2 linked regions of the Oryza sativa Japonica Group genome follow. The protein of the gene in region 1 binds, or shares a complex with, the protein of each later gene. Links are inferred from orthologs where the notes say so. Each region holds a gene or a part of one and is shown in the gene's direction. Other genes may lie near its edges.

The links. The genes of interacting proteins can lie anywhere in the genome.
Region 2: rps4 (region 1) and small ribosomal subunit protein cS23 share a complex: the UniProt entries of both Arabidopsis thaliana proteins name them as parts of the 30S ribosomal subunit. The link is inferred for Oryza sativa Japonica Group from reciprocal best matches to the Arabidopsis thaliana genes rps4 and PSRP3/1.

Annotation. Positions count from the first base shown.
Region 1 is NC_001320.1:42,492-48,823, reverse strand, and holds rps4 (ribosomal protein S4), read left to right. Parts: upstream 1-3,408; coding exon 3,409-4,014; downstream 4,015-6,332. Other genes in the region: ndhK (NADH dehydrogenase subunit K), read left to right, coding at 1-255; ndhJ (NADH dehydrogenase subunit J), read left to right, coding at 353-832; photosystem I assembly protein Ycf3, read left to right, coding at 4,987-5,110, 5,856-6,085. UniProt on the Arabidopsis thaliana protein: One of the primary rRNA binding proteins, it binds directly to 16S rRNA where it nucleates assembly of the body of the 30S subunit. With S5 and S12 plays an important role in translational accuracy.
Region 2 is NC_089038.1:23,518,218-23,525,618, forward strand, and holds small ribosomal subunit protein cS23, read left to right. Parts: upstream 1-3,360; 5' UTR 3,361-3,412; coding exon 3,413-3,682; intron 3,683-4,526; coding exon 4,527-4,808; 3' UTR 4,809-4,970; downstream 4,971-7,401. Other genes in the region: transcription factor MYB106, read left to right, coding at 303-435, 580-709, 1,619-2,393. UniProt on the Arabidopsis thaliana protein: Component of the chloroplast ribosome (chloro-ribosome), a dedicated translation machinery responsible for the synthesis of chloroplast genome-encoded proteins, including proteins of the transcription and translation machinery and components of the photosynthetic apparatus.

The DNA of each region.
Region 1 (6,332 bases):
AAACCAGAGGCTGTTATAGATGCCCTAACAAAACTTCGTAAGAAGATATCGCGAGAAATAGTTGAGGATCGAACTCTATCTCAAAAGAAAAATCGATGTTTTACTACCAGCCACAAGCTTTATGTTCGGCGCAGTACTAATACTGGAACTTATGAGCAAGAATTGCTCTATCAATCACCATCTACTTTAGACATATCTTCTGAAACTTTTTTCAAATCCAAAAGTCCAGTATCTTCCTACAAATTAGTGAATTAGGAGGAGCTCTTTGTGCCGAAAAAGAAAGAGCAGGGCAATATTTCAAACTTGCATTCGAACTGCGAAATATTTATACAAAGGAGGAGAGATCAAGATAATGCAGCAGGGTTGGTTATCTAATTGGCTAGTCAAACATGAGGTGGTTCATAGATCTTTGGGCTTCGATCATCGAGGAATAGAGACTTTGCAAATAAAAGCAGAGGATTGGGATTCCATTGCTGTCATTTTATATGTATATGGTTACAATTATTTACGTTCCCAATGTGCTTATGACGTTGCACCCGGTGGATCTTTAGCTAGCGTGTATCATCTTACGAGAATACAGTATGGTATAGATAACCCAGAAGAAGTATGCATAAAAGTCTTTGCCCAAAAGGATAATCCTAGAATCCCATCTGTCTTCTGGATTTGGAGAAGTTCCGATTTTCAAGAACGCGAATCTTTTGATATGGTGGGAATCTCTTATGATAATCATCCACGCCTTAAACGTATCCTAATGCCTGAAAGTTGGATAGGCTGGCCCTTACGTAAGGACTATATAACCCCCAATTTCTATGAAATACAAGATGCTCATTGAATGATAAGAAATTCATGCTCACTTATACAACACAACTCCAGATTTTATGCAAGTCAAGGAATATTTTTACGCTCTGTTCCTAGATGAAACAGAATACCTATTACATTCTAATTAATTCCAATTATACAAAAGGTTCAGATAGACTAAGCAAAAAAGGGCTTCATTTCGTTGGAAAATCACATATTCATTTCCTTCGTATGAACAGAAAAATATGATGACTCAAAGAAGTTCCCTACCACGAACTTTGTACCGCGTGCATTACTTAGAACAACTAGTAAAGTAAGATAAGATAAGCAAGAATAAAAAAATATTTGTCGGAATAGCGGAATAGAAAATTAAGAAATGCAAAAATGCAGAAAAAGAAGTGCCTCTATTTAGAGATTTATCTACTTAGATGAAAAAATCATACTCTATCTATATTATTAACGAATATGTATCCCAACCCATCTCGAGGTATTTGTATCAATACCTATTCGGAAGATCCCTTTTTTCTGTGCCAGGAACCAGATTTGAACTGGTGACACGAGGATTTTCAGTCCTCTGCTCTACCAACTGAGCTATCCTGACCTTTTCTTGTGCATCATCCTAGTAGAGTATTTGTATCTATGTCAATATCCAAAATTTGGAAATGGGGAGGGGGCAGTCCTATGCATTGTACAAAGAAAGCCTATTTAATAATATTTAAATATCGAGTTAATAATCGACATTCCTTGCCGATACTATAATAAAAAAGAAATGTATTCCATTGAATCTTAAACCTATTAATAAAAAAACAGGATAAATACTAGAGTTAGGAATAAAAGAGGGTTTGGGGATAGAGGGACTTGAACCCTCACGACTTAGAAAGTCGACGGATTTTGCTTTTACTAGAAATTTCATTGTTGTCAGTATTGACATGTAGAATGGGACTCTCTCTTTATCCTCGTCCGATTAATCCGCTTTTAAAAAGATTTCGAAAACTATGAATTGAAGGATTTGATTACTCAATATTCGATTGGAATGGATTCACAACAATTCTAAAAAAATTATGAATTTTCTATTTCATAATCATTCCTATTTTCATTTTAAAAAAGAATTAAAGAACCTATATTATGATATGAGTTCTGTGATTAATCGTTTGCTATGCCAGTATCTATACGTGGTATTAGATTTCGAAAGCCCTTCTTTCCCTAATTTAGAAGGGAGTTCCGCTAGCAACACAACGTAATTAACTCGATTCGTTAGAACAGCTTCCATTGAGTCTCTGCACCTATCCTTTTCCTTTGGGTTCTAGTTCGAGAACCGCTTGTTTTCTCAAAACATGGATTTGGCTCAGGATTGCCCCTTTTTTAATTCCAGGGTTTCTCTGAATTTGGAAGTTGCCACTTAGCAGGTTTCCATACCAAGGCTCAATACAATCAAGTCCGTAGCGTCTACCGATTTCGCCATATCCCCATTTTCTTTTTCTTTGAGACCAGGATTCCTTGTGCAATTTCCTCCATCTGTTAGTTTTTTTTGAATCGTTGAATTCATTACTCTATGTAGTCTAGCGGTTCGTCTCTAGTTGAGAGACTCCGCTTATTGCAATTCAGCATTGAATTGATTCTATCGTTGATGTATTTGCAATTCAATGCGAATCAATATATCCCAAGGTTTTTCTCTCCCCCACCTACCGCGTTCCTTTTTTAGAGTATTCAAAATCATACTATAACGCTTGATATTCATTCTTTTTTTTTGCTAATCAGAATTAGCAATTTCATTTGCTATGATTCTATGTTCTCCTTAGTGAAATATTAATCATTAAATTATTAGCAAATAACAAAAAAAAACAAAATAATCTCAAAAAATGTCTATAATGATGGACTGAAAATACAAGAAATTCGCATGTTCTCTTTATTATGTTTTCGTATATAATATATATTATTTATTCTTTTCCATGTATTAGATTATTCGTCCGAGCCATATCAAATTAAAAATATCTAAAATCAAATTCAATATAGAAATTGGAATAGATTCTATTAGAAAAATAGATTTGCGAATTAGAGAAAAAAGAAAGTTCAAAAAAATCTATCTAACTTTATTTTATGAAGTTCTAGTATTTTTTTCTAAGTAGAACTTCCAATTTCGAACTAGTTAATAGCTAAGATTAATAATTAAGATCTGACATTTTACGGATTTCCTATACTATACATATTTCTATTTGTTACACTATTTCTGTTATGTAAGCCCACTTAGCTCAGAGGTTAGAGCATCGCATTTGTAATGCGAGGGTCATCGGTTCAAATCCGATAGTCGGCTTTTTTCTCTATCAATGTTCCATGAACAAAAATACCTCTTTTTCTCCGAATTAAATGGAGAAGCCAGGATCTATTATGTCGGTCTACCCTACAATTTTGCTAGATACAAAACAATAAAATAAATAATATATATACAAAAATTCAGATGTTGATGAAATTCCATTTTTTTGTGGTACTTTTAGTAGATTTTACTCTGTTTATCCTTTACTTTAATTCAGTTTTAATTTCGATGTATTCTGTAATGTAAATACAATGAAATTAATTGTGTAAAATGAAATTTCAATAAAAAAAGGAGTCTTCATGTCCCGTTATCGAGGACCTCGTTTTAAAAAAATACGCCGTCTGGGAGCTTTACCAGGACTCACTAGAAAAACACCTAAATCCGGAAGTAATCTGAAAAAGAAATTCCATTCTGGGAAAAAAGAACAATATCGTATTCGTCTTCAAGAAAAACAGAAATTGCGTTTTCATTATGGTCTGACAGAACGACAATTACTTAGATATGTACATATCGCTGGAAAAGCAAAAAGTTCAACAGGTCAGGTTTTACTACAATTACTTGAAATGCGTTTGGATAATATCCTTTTTCGATTAGGTATGGCTTCAACCATTCCCGAGGCCCGGCAATTAGTTAACCATAGACATATTTTAGTTAATGGTCGTATAGTCGATATACCAAGTTTTCGTTGCAAACCCCGAGATATTATTACTACGAAGGATAACCAAAGATCAAAACGTCTGGTTCAAAATTCTATTGCTTCATCCGACCCGGGGAAATTGCCAAAGCATTTGACGATTGACACATTGCAATATAAAGGACTAGTAAAAAAAATCCTGGATAGGAAGTGGGTCGGTCTCAAAATAAATGAGTTGTTAGTTGTAGAATATTACTCTCGTCAAACTTGAACTTAAGGAAAAACGGAAAGGTTCATAGAATTTTTCTTCCCTTCCCCTTTCCCCGAACTAAATCGACCTAAGGCTCTTAATTCGTATTTTCCCATTCACCTAACAGAAATGGATTAACCCTAGGATTCCTTTTTGTTTTTTGTTCTTTCCTCTATGTGTATTTTACATACCATAGTAATTTGGTATAGAGAATTTCTATTAAATAAAGGTATTGTATTATTGCTGGAATAAATTGTCATTTGATTTGATACATTGTAATCATTAACGTTGCTGAATTAAGAAAAACGGAAAGAGAGGGATTCGAACCCTCGGTAAACAAAAGTCTACATAGCAGTTCCAATGCTACGCCTTGAACCGCTCGGCCATCTCTCCTCCATAATCTTATTATGGAAAAAAAACTGAGTGAATAGCGAGTTTTCCTATTCCTGCAGTACAGGTACAACCACAACCGCGCGAGAGTTCCATTGTTCTATTAGATAGAAAAATTCCTTTTCATCTAAGTGGACGGGTCCAGGATTTTTTTACTAGGAATTCCGCTCCCTCGAAAAGTTTTAGTTTGGGTTTTCCCCAAACCAAAGAAAAAGAGAATGGAAGAATTCTTCTTATTCGATAAAAAAGGAACCCTAGAATTCTGTTTGCATAAGGTATCCTACCCCATACAATCAAATAGAAAATAGGGTATGGGACGATTAATGACTTTTGAAAATGCGAAATAGTTGATGAGAGAAGTTGTTGTTGAGAAAAGAAATAGGAAAGTGGAATGAAATCCAATCTTAGTCAAATATTTTCTATCTCTTCTTGTTCAAACAGAAGGAAAAAGAGAGAATTTGGGCTGAGCAGAAATACCTCTCTTATCCATTTGGAGCATAGGGATCGATTTGATAAGAATTGAATGGATTTGTTTTTTTTTTATGTTATTTTGTGAAGGAATGAAAAGAATTCTATATAGAATGATAGAATGGGTTGGGAATTATGCCTAGATCCCGTATAAATGGAAATTTCATTGATAAGACCTTCTCAATTGTAGCCAATATTTTATTGCGAATAATTCCGACAACCTCCGGGGAAAAAAGGGCATTTACTTATTATAGAGATGGTGCGATTTGACTCTTTTTTTTGTTTTTTTAGCCCTACCTACACCCCGGTTTTAACGAGAAAAGAGTGGGGGGTTCGCGGAGAGAAAAACCAAATTAGTAAGGGAACCACGCTTAGGGAAGGTGAGGTGAACTAACAACTCCTTCTGTCGTGTATCCTCGACTGACGCGGCCTCGGATGCTTCAATTGTAGATTTTAGTATTGAGCGAAAGGTTACACCTACAGGATAGGTTCTGTATTACAGGCTAATCCTACTCTACTAGTACTAATAGGTAGCATAGGGGATAAAAGCACTACACCTAGAAATAGGAATCAACAAGAGAAAAACTTTGTTAGAAATTAACCCTTTCCTGATTGGTATCAGGGCTGGGAAGAATGGTTGGGATAACAAACAACCATCAAGTTTGTACTTTGGATACCCCTATAACCATCAAAGATCGTTGAAGTGGCTAATTCCTCTAAATAGGAGGCGTTGAGAACAAAGAAATTCTTGGAGCTATCGTTTTCCTCTAGCATTAATAGAATTCATTGGTGTTAAGAAAAACCTCTTGTGGGAAGGTTGGCTAGAGATTTCTTGGAAAAATTACCAGCCCCTTTCGGTCCATAATGAGATGGAACTAATTCTATTTTTATTCTCTAGATTTTTTCGCTTAGTACTATGTACAGAAGGGAGGAGCCGTATGAGGTGAAAACCTCATGTACGGTTTTGGAACGGAGATTTTTTGAATAGAACGAACGACCGTAACGGATGTTGGCTCAATCCGAAGGAAATTATGCGGAAGCTTTGCAAAATTATTATGAAGCTACGCGACTAGAAAGTGATCCCTATGATCGAAGTTATATACTCTATAACATAGGCCTTATACACACAAGCAATGGAGAGCATACAAAGGCTTTGGAATATTATTTCCGGGCACTAGAACGAAACCCCTTCTTACCACAAGCTTTTAATAATATGGCCGTGATCTGTCATTACGTGCGACTATCTCCACTATAGAAAGAAAAATAAGAAAGGGATCAAATTTTCTAGTATTTGACTGAGAAAAGGGGGCTTTCTAGCATAGGGATCGTCAAAACAACGATTTTGCCCTATCAGCTGTAGGAAGAAAGGACACTTCACGAGAATCAAAAGTAGGAAGAAAGAAAGTATGGCCTATACTACTCTATGGATAGAGTTCTCAAATTGATAGAGAAAGCACCGTAAAGATCAATTAGTGACCGAC
Region 2 (7,401 bases), on another chromosome or scaffold:
TTATGCCTCTACGCAGCGCAATGTGCCTCACTCTTTCGCTTTTGGCCTCTCTCTCTCTCTCTCTCTCTCTCACACACACACACACTCTCACTGACTCTGCTGCTGCATTAGTCACTCGCAGAGAGCCACAGCTCCCTGCAAAGAAGATCTCTCGTAGTGAATTGCCTCGATCACGTACTACTACACATAGACCTACTACTTGAGCCCGAGAGAAGAGGAGAGGAGGAAGAACCAGAGGGCGTCGAAGATCATCGGGGAGGAGTTTTCCTAGAGCTCGCTGCTGCTGTTGCTTTTCTCCGGCGATGGGGCGATCGCCGTGCTGCGAGAAGGAGGGGCTCAAGAAGGGGCCATGGACGCCGGAGGAGGACCAGAAGCTGCTGGCCTACATCGAGCAGCACGGCCACGGCTGCTGGCGCTCGCTACCCTCCAAGGCCGGTAAGCGCCGCTTATCTAGCTTAAATTTCTTCTCAACCTCTGCAATCCTAGCTGCAATGTTCGGTCGAGGCGATCGATCCTCGAGGCTGGCTACTCTCTGAACTCTGATCTGAGGTGCATGCAAACCGTGACAATCGTGTGCAGGGCTGCAGCGGTGCGGCAAGAGCTGCCGACTCCGGTGGACGAACTACCTCCGGCCGGACATCAAGAGGGGCAAGTTCAGCCTGCAGGAGGAGCAGACCATCATCCAGCTCCACGCCCTTCTCGGCAACAGGTGATCGATTACTTCGTTTTCGCATGGATGCATCATGCATACAAGATACGTAGTGCACAACTCTCCCTCCTGCTAGCTGCTCGCTCGTTCTTCACCTCGCACCCGGAGCACATTTAATTCCGTAATCGCGATGGAACCCTTGATTCTCCTGCACGAATTTTGACTGCTAGTACTTGTTGCTGACCGGCAGGTCAAGAACACACTAGCCAGTAGCCACCATTCTGCACCGTAGTCTTGGCAGACATTTATGAAAGGGTTATGCAATGCAAGGGTTGGAACACGGAGCTTAGCCAGGGGATGTGTAAATTTCGCAGGCCGTGCTACTTACTTGCTGTCCCCGTACACACCTGCTTCAGCATTTTGTCCGTAACAAACCGTACTGTCCATAGATTAACACACAAGCTAGGCTAAAAATTCTTACGTTAGAACAGAATCATCACTTGTTTTCGTTTTGTTCACACGTAATGCTGCATTGCTCATCTTTTGCCCGTCGAACAACCACGCATTAGCTGTGAGCACAGACCAATCAATGCATGCATCAACAAGGGAAAAAGTGTGAAAAGGTTGGGCAGTGAGAGGCTCGGCCCAGAATTTTCCTTTCTTTTCTCCCATATGATTCGGCATTCAAGCTCGTCATTTAAGGAGGCGAGCCCCCCCATCATTGTGGACCAAAACTGGGGTTTGGTCCACTGTTGCCACCTGCCCCTCTTCCCATTTTGACTCACAGCTTCCGATCATCTCTGCCCTCTGTCTGTACTACGCCACGCACGCCTTAAATCACACCGCCGATTATTTACGTTTTCAAGAGTGCTGTTTGTTTAATTTTGTCACTGCGAATGGAGGGCTTTTGACGTGCGATTTTCCTGATCTTTTTTCTTGGCCGGCGTTGGCGTTGTTGTTGTTTTGCAGGTGGTCGGCGATCGCGACGCACCTGCCGAAGCGCACGGACAACGAGATCAAGAACTACTGGAACACGCACCTAAAGAAGCGGCTGGCCAAGATGGGGATCGACCCGGTCACGCACAAGCCGCGCTCCGACGTGGCCGGCGCGGGCGGCGGCGGCGGAGGTGCGGCCGGCGGCGCGGCGGGCGCGCAGCACGCCAAGGCCGCGGCGCACCTCAGCCACACGGCGCAGTGGGAGAGCGCGCGGCTCGAGGCGGAGGCGCGCTTGGCTCGGGAGGCCAAGCTGCGCGCGCTCGCGGCCTCCGCGACCCCGGGCGCGCCGCACCTCCCGGCACCCCCCGCGTCGGCGGCGGCGGCGGCGGCGGCTCACGGCCTCGACTCGCCGACGTCCACGCTGAGCTTCTCGGAGAGCGCGGTGCTCGCCACCGTGCTGGAGGCGCACGGCGCCGCCGCCGCGGCGGCCGCGCGCGCCGCCATGCAGCCCATGCAGGCGTACGACGAGGCGTGCAAGGACCAGCACTGGGGCGACGTCGACGCCGCCGACGTGGGCTTCCCCGGCGCCGGAGCGGGGTTCACGGGCCTACTCCTCGAAGGCTCCTTGAACCAGATCCCGAGGCCGGCGGGGAGAGACGCGGAAGCCGACGGCGAGTTCCAGGAGACCGAGGAGGAGAAGAACTACTGGAACAGCATACTGAACCTGGTGAACTCCTCGTCGGCACCTATGTCGACGGCCGTGGTTGTGCCCGCCTCCCACGCGTACTCGCCGGCGCCGGACTTCTGAGCGGAGAAAACCTCGCCGGCATCAAACTTGATTCGATCTCATGACACAGTAAATAGTTTAGCAATGATTGTCGAATAAGATGGGACTAATATTAATGTTAGTAATTATTAATCACGTTCTTGGGTTAACCTGACAATGCTTTCGATTAAACTTGTGGGCAAGAACTTCAACTGTTCAAGGCTGTATCGACATTTGAAATTCGATGCTTGTTTTGTTCGGTGTTCTTATAGAATGTGTAAAACACTGAAACTACTATCAGAGAATGTAGCATCCTTACTTGCAAAGTTACTACTCCTGCTTGTTTTTTTTCAAAACTTACGATCATTTCAGTACTTTGTACCCGGTTCATTTCATTCCACTATCAGTTTTTACTACGCCCAAGCGGTTGGCAACTGGGCACTAGCACTACTGAAGGCCAGGGTTTCCCAAACCACCGGACCGGGGTTACCACACGGTAACCGTGTAAAATTTATCAAAATTTAAAATTATTTTTTAAATTTATTTGAATTTAAGGGGGTTACCGCGGTTTCCCTTTTACCGTACCCCACGGTAAGCGCGGTAATCGCACGGTTACAGACGGTTTTGCAAACCCTGCTGAAGGCAAACGGACGGCCTCATCTTTTCGCTTATACTTATGTTTATCAGTCAAAATTTAAATTTTTACCTTTAAATTTGGGGTTGATTTTATTTTTTTTATCGAAGGTTTATTTTTCAGTCTTTGCTTTTAGATCGTTAAAAATATATATATAAAAGATTTATTCACAAATTATTTTTTATTTACAAATATGCCATTTCGTTTATTCTCGAATAACCGAGACGATTGAGCTGTGAGCTTTTTACTTAGATTGGATCTGGGCCGGGCCGTTTTGTGCTGGGCCATATTGGGCTTTACCATAACTTTCTAGCCCACATCTAATAGCTGACGAGAAGGGGATTATTAAGGGTAAAGATAAGAGGAGGCAGCCCCGCACCATCGTCTTCCTCCTCTTATCCGCACAGGAGCCTCGGACTCGGACACGATGCTGGCGATGTCCGTCCACCCCGCCGCCACGCCGGCCCTCGCCTCGCGCGCCCGCATCTCCCGGCCCAAGCTTTCCGCCGCCTCCCCCTGCACCACCTCCTCCTCCTCCACTCCACGCCTCGTCCACCTCGGCAGCAGGAGGCTTCCCCTTCGCTCGCTCCGTGGCCTCGCCGCCGCCGCCGCTTCTGGCGCCGTCGAAGCGGAGGAGGGAGAAGAGGAGAAGCAAGTCGGAGGTGGGGATGCGAGCGCCGGCGAGGAAGCGCAGGAGGTAATGGGCTAGTAGCCGCTCCAAACCATGCCAGTGACTGAAATTACGGGGTTTTTTTTTTTACCGAGTCGAGCTCAATTTCAGAAGGAAGTGTTGTTTTTTGAAGAGGATGGAGTTCAATCACATTTGGTTTCGCATGAATTTGATTTTTCTTGAATCAATTTTGGTTACCGAACTGATTACTTGAGCTCATAGGTGAAATACAGTACGAGGTGTACATTTGGGTGAATTCACGAGTAGAGTAAATCTTTAGACACAATGCACAGCTGAAAGCTTAAGAGAAGTCACAAGTAGAGTAAATTAGAGAAGTTCTAGTCTAGTTGAGCATGTTTGGGCACTCGGGCTGTCCTTTTGGTGCAGTTTTGCACTTCTGCAGATAAAAGGTGTATGCTAGTGATGAAGAGGCGAAGAGCACATGAAAGCATGTCCACAAACTTGAGCGTGTGCCATTTTTGGTTGTATGTGTAAGCAAGAACTGAACTATTGAACAAACTGTAGCATTGACAGGTTTTGGTCATGAAAGGAGTTTTTTTTCATTCAGCTATTTACGTGATTATGTAACAACATTAACAGGCACAATAAGTTCCTTTTTCATCACTATATCAGATTTCAGAGATGTACACTAAAAGTGGATTAGTTTTGATTATATGGGAGTTACCCTCACAGTTGAAAAATGGGGCCTTTTGTAGAGAAATGAAGTTGTCAATGGAACACGTACAGTAGTTGTTGCAATTTATTTTACTACGACTTGAGCTGTGTTAAAACTGCACAATTTATTTTACTCAGATATGCAAAATCAGTATTAGCATTATGAGATTTGAAACGAATTGATTTTGTATCGCAGTACAAGGTTAAGGTGCCTGAAAGGCAGGATCCAATGCTTGTTCTGAAGTTCATATGGATGGAGAAGAACATTGGCATAGCCCTCGACCAGTTGGTTCCCGGCTATGGCAGCATTCCGTTAAGCCCATACTACTTCTGGCCACGGAAAGATGCCTGGGAGGAGCTAAGAGCAAAGCTGGAGGAGAAAGAGTGGATCTCTCAGAAACAGATGATCATCCTTCTGAATCAGGCCACTGATATCATCAACCTTTGGCAACAGGGTGGTGGCAGCTTGTCAACCTAAGAGGATATCTCAATTCTCCCATCCTTGAGAACCTTGTTTCTTTTTTTCTTGCTTTGGTTACACGGATCTTTGTTGTTACATGACCCTGTAGATCGATTCAAACTGTTTTCGGATACGGTTTTGTTTATGGAAATGAATTGTGATTGATCTCTGTAAGGTAAACGATTTGGGCTCCATCATCCGCAGGGAAGATTGCTAATACCTCTTGATACTACTATACCATGATCCAGTTAAATAAATGTAACTCGATATTTTGAACTTGAAGAAAAAGGGGAATTTCTTTTCTTTCGAAGAGATTTGGGGTCACGGGGGCATATACCCCTTCTACTGCGATTAACTAACACCGGTGATGCCCTGAAAAAGCCCGGCCCGCTCCGCGCACCACGAGCCTAGGCCGTCCACGCGTAGGCCTCTGCAAAACGGGCTGCGGCAACGCGTGAGCCTGTGCGAAACGAGCGTGAAAACGCTCGTGGACTCGTGGAGTCGTCGTGGTGCCCGCGCGTCGTGCTGCGACGCTCGTTCTCACGCCGCATGCAGCGCCGCGCCAGCTTGGTCACGGTCTCAAAAGCGTTCAAAAGGCATGGGAGCAACTGAGCAAGGCGTAGCAGCTTATCATCATCTCGGCCAAGGGGGGAGGAGGGGCAAGGCACATGGAGGCGTTGGGTTGGAGTTGGACCTCCTAGGTAGGGAAGCAGGAAGCTGGACTCGCTAGGAAAAAAAATAATGGAGAACCTGTACCGCGTGTACCAGAAGATAAGCTTATTTAGCAGTACTGATTTTTTTTTTTCTAATGAAAGGAAACAGAGTATTGTTAAGTCCCAAAGAGATAACTTATTTTTTTCCTCTTCGACAACGTAGTACTAACTTAGTACTAGTACTGTTTTCTATGATCAAAGTAGAATATTGTTAAGCTAGCTAGCACTACCAACTGTCCTCCCATAAGAAAAAGGTAAGTACTACTACTATAGTAGAGACTGACCAATCAACTCAATTGTGTAATGCACTGCTCAGATGGCATCTTTACCTTCTTAACACTCAACTTCCTTACAGAGTAACGTGCCGCTTTAGGCTTTATTACTTGCGATAACCGGAGAGAGAGGCTGGCAAAGTATACGTAGCTTCCCTATAAAGTTGTCCAAGTTCATCGCAGAGCTCCAGGCAGGCAGTATAAAAATGGGAAATGTACACCTGAAAAGGACGAATCAGCCCCATTTGGGAATCCCCTGCACGGCGTCAATCTCGTCATCTTGCCCTTTTCTTCCCATCGACCTGATGATTGACACTTGTGGCCTCTGGGGATTAAACTATTGCCACCATGGGCGATCGATCGATCGAGATTAGAGCAAGTATAATAGTGAGCTATAAGAAAGCTGAATGCTGAAGTGGATAGGAGAAAAGAGGAGAGAGATGAGAAGCGGGCTGTAAGTTTACAGCCGGCTTAGGCACAGGAACCAAGAAAATCTGTGAGACAGACATGTGAACCATATATTTATAGTGAAGAGTTAACCATTATACGAGTGAGCTGATAGATAGGCTATAAGTAAGCAGCTGGCTGTATTATTATCCTTTCTCTTAGGACGTTTTCGACATGATCAGGTGGTCTTTGTCTCTTATTTTTAAGGGGAGGCTGAGTCAGATAAGCACGGCGGTTTGGTGAGGCATCACCCCGTGGTGCTCACATGCATGGGTTCCACCATGAATTGGATCTCTAAAACCTAGTTTTGTTCGAGCTGCCATGTTTAGTACTACTTCATCAAATTAAAAGTTCCGGTGTACGGATCCGCTGCTGTCCTAGTCCTAGATCGATCCTCTGTGTCACGCTTATGGCCTGCACTGCCGTGAGTTTGGCAAAGAAAACCGTTTGGGATACTCACATATTCACAGTACAGCTTGTTCGATCTCTCCCATGGCTATGTAATTGTGTGTTTGATTATTTTAAAACAAAGGGAAGGATATTGGGTTTTAGCTTTAGTCATGTAAAAAGAAATGGTTTTATATATTTACCGAATCATGATGCATCTGCGGAGATAGTAACGAAAAAACACTCATCTAAATAAGCAAGTACATTAACAAGCGGCATAGGAGTGGAACGGATCAACTTGAGGTGATCAATATAAAGGGGGTTATCACGAGTACCATTAATAAAAGCACATCTATTCACGTGAACTCGACCTCTCAGCCCATTTGGTAGGTCAGAAAAGCGGACCTAAAACAAATATGCACTGTGGCTTGATTCGCCAGCTGGATCCAAACTGTCGAGACAATATTATAAAGAGTAAAGTCCATCACCGGTCCCTAAACTTTTACCGCTGTGTCATCCCGGTCCCTAAACTCGCAAATCGACCGTTTAGGTCCTCAAACTTGTTCGACTGTGTCATCCCGTCCCTAAACTTGCAGATCACTCGTTTAGGTCCACAAACTTGTTCAGTTGTGTCACCCCGGTCCCTAAACTTGGATTTGAATATCATCTGGATCAAATAGGACGGTCTAAAGACTTTATATTTAAAAATAATTCATAACTTTTTCATGTGAACTCTAATGAAGATAAACTTTATATCGAACTTGTAGCCCTCGACGCGATCTACACCTTTGT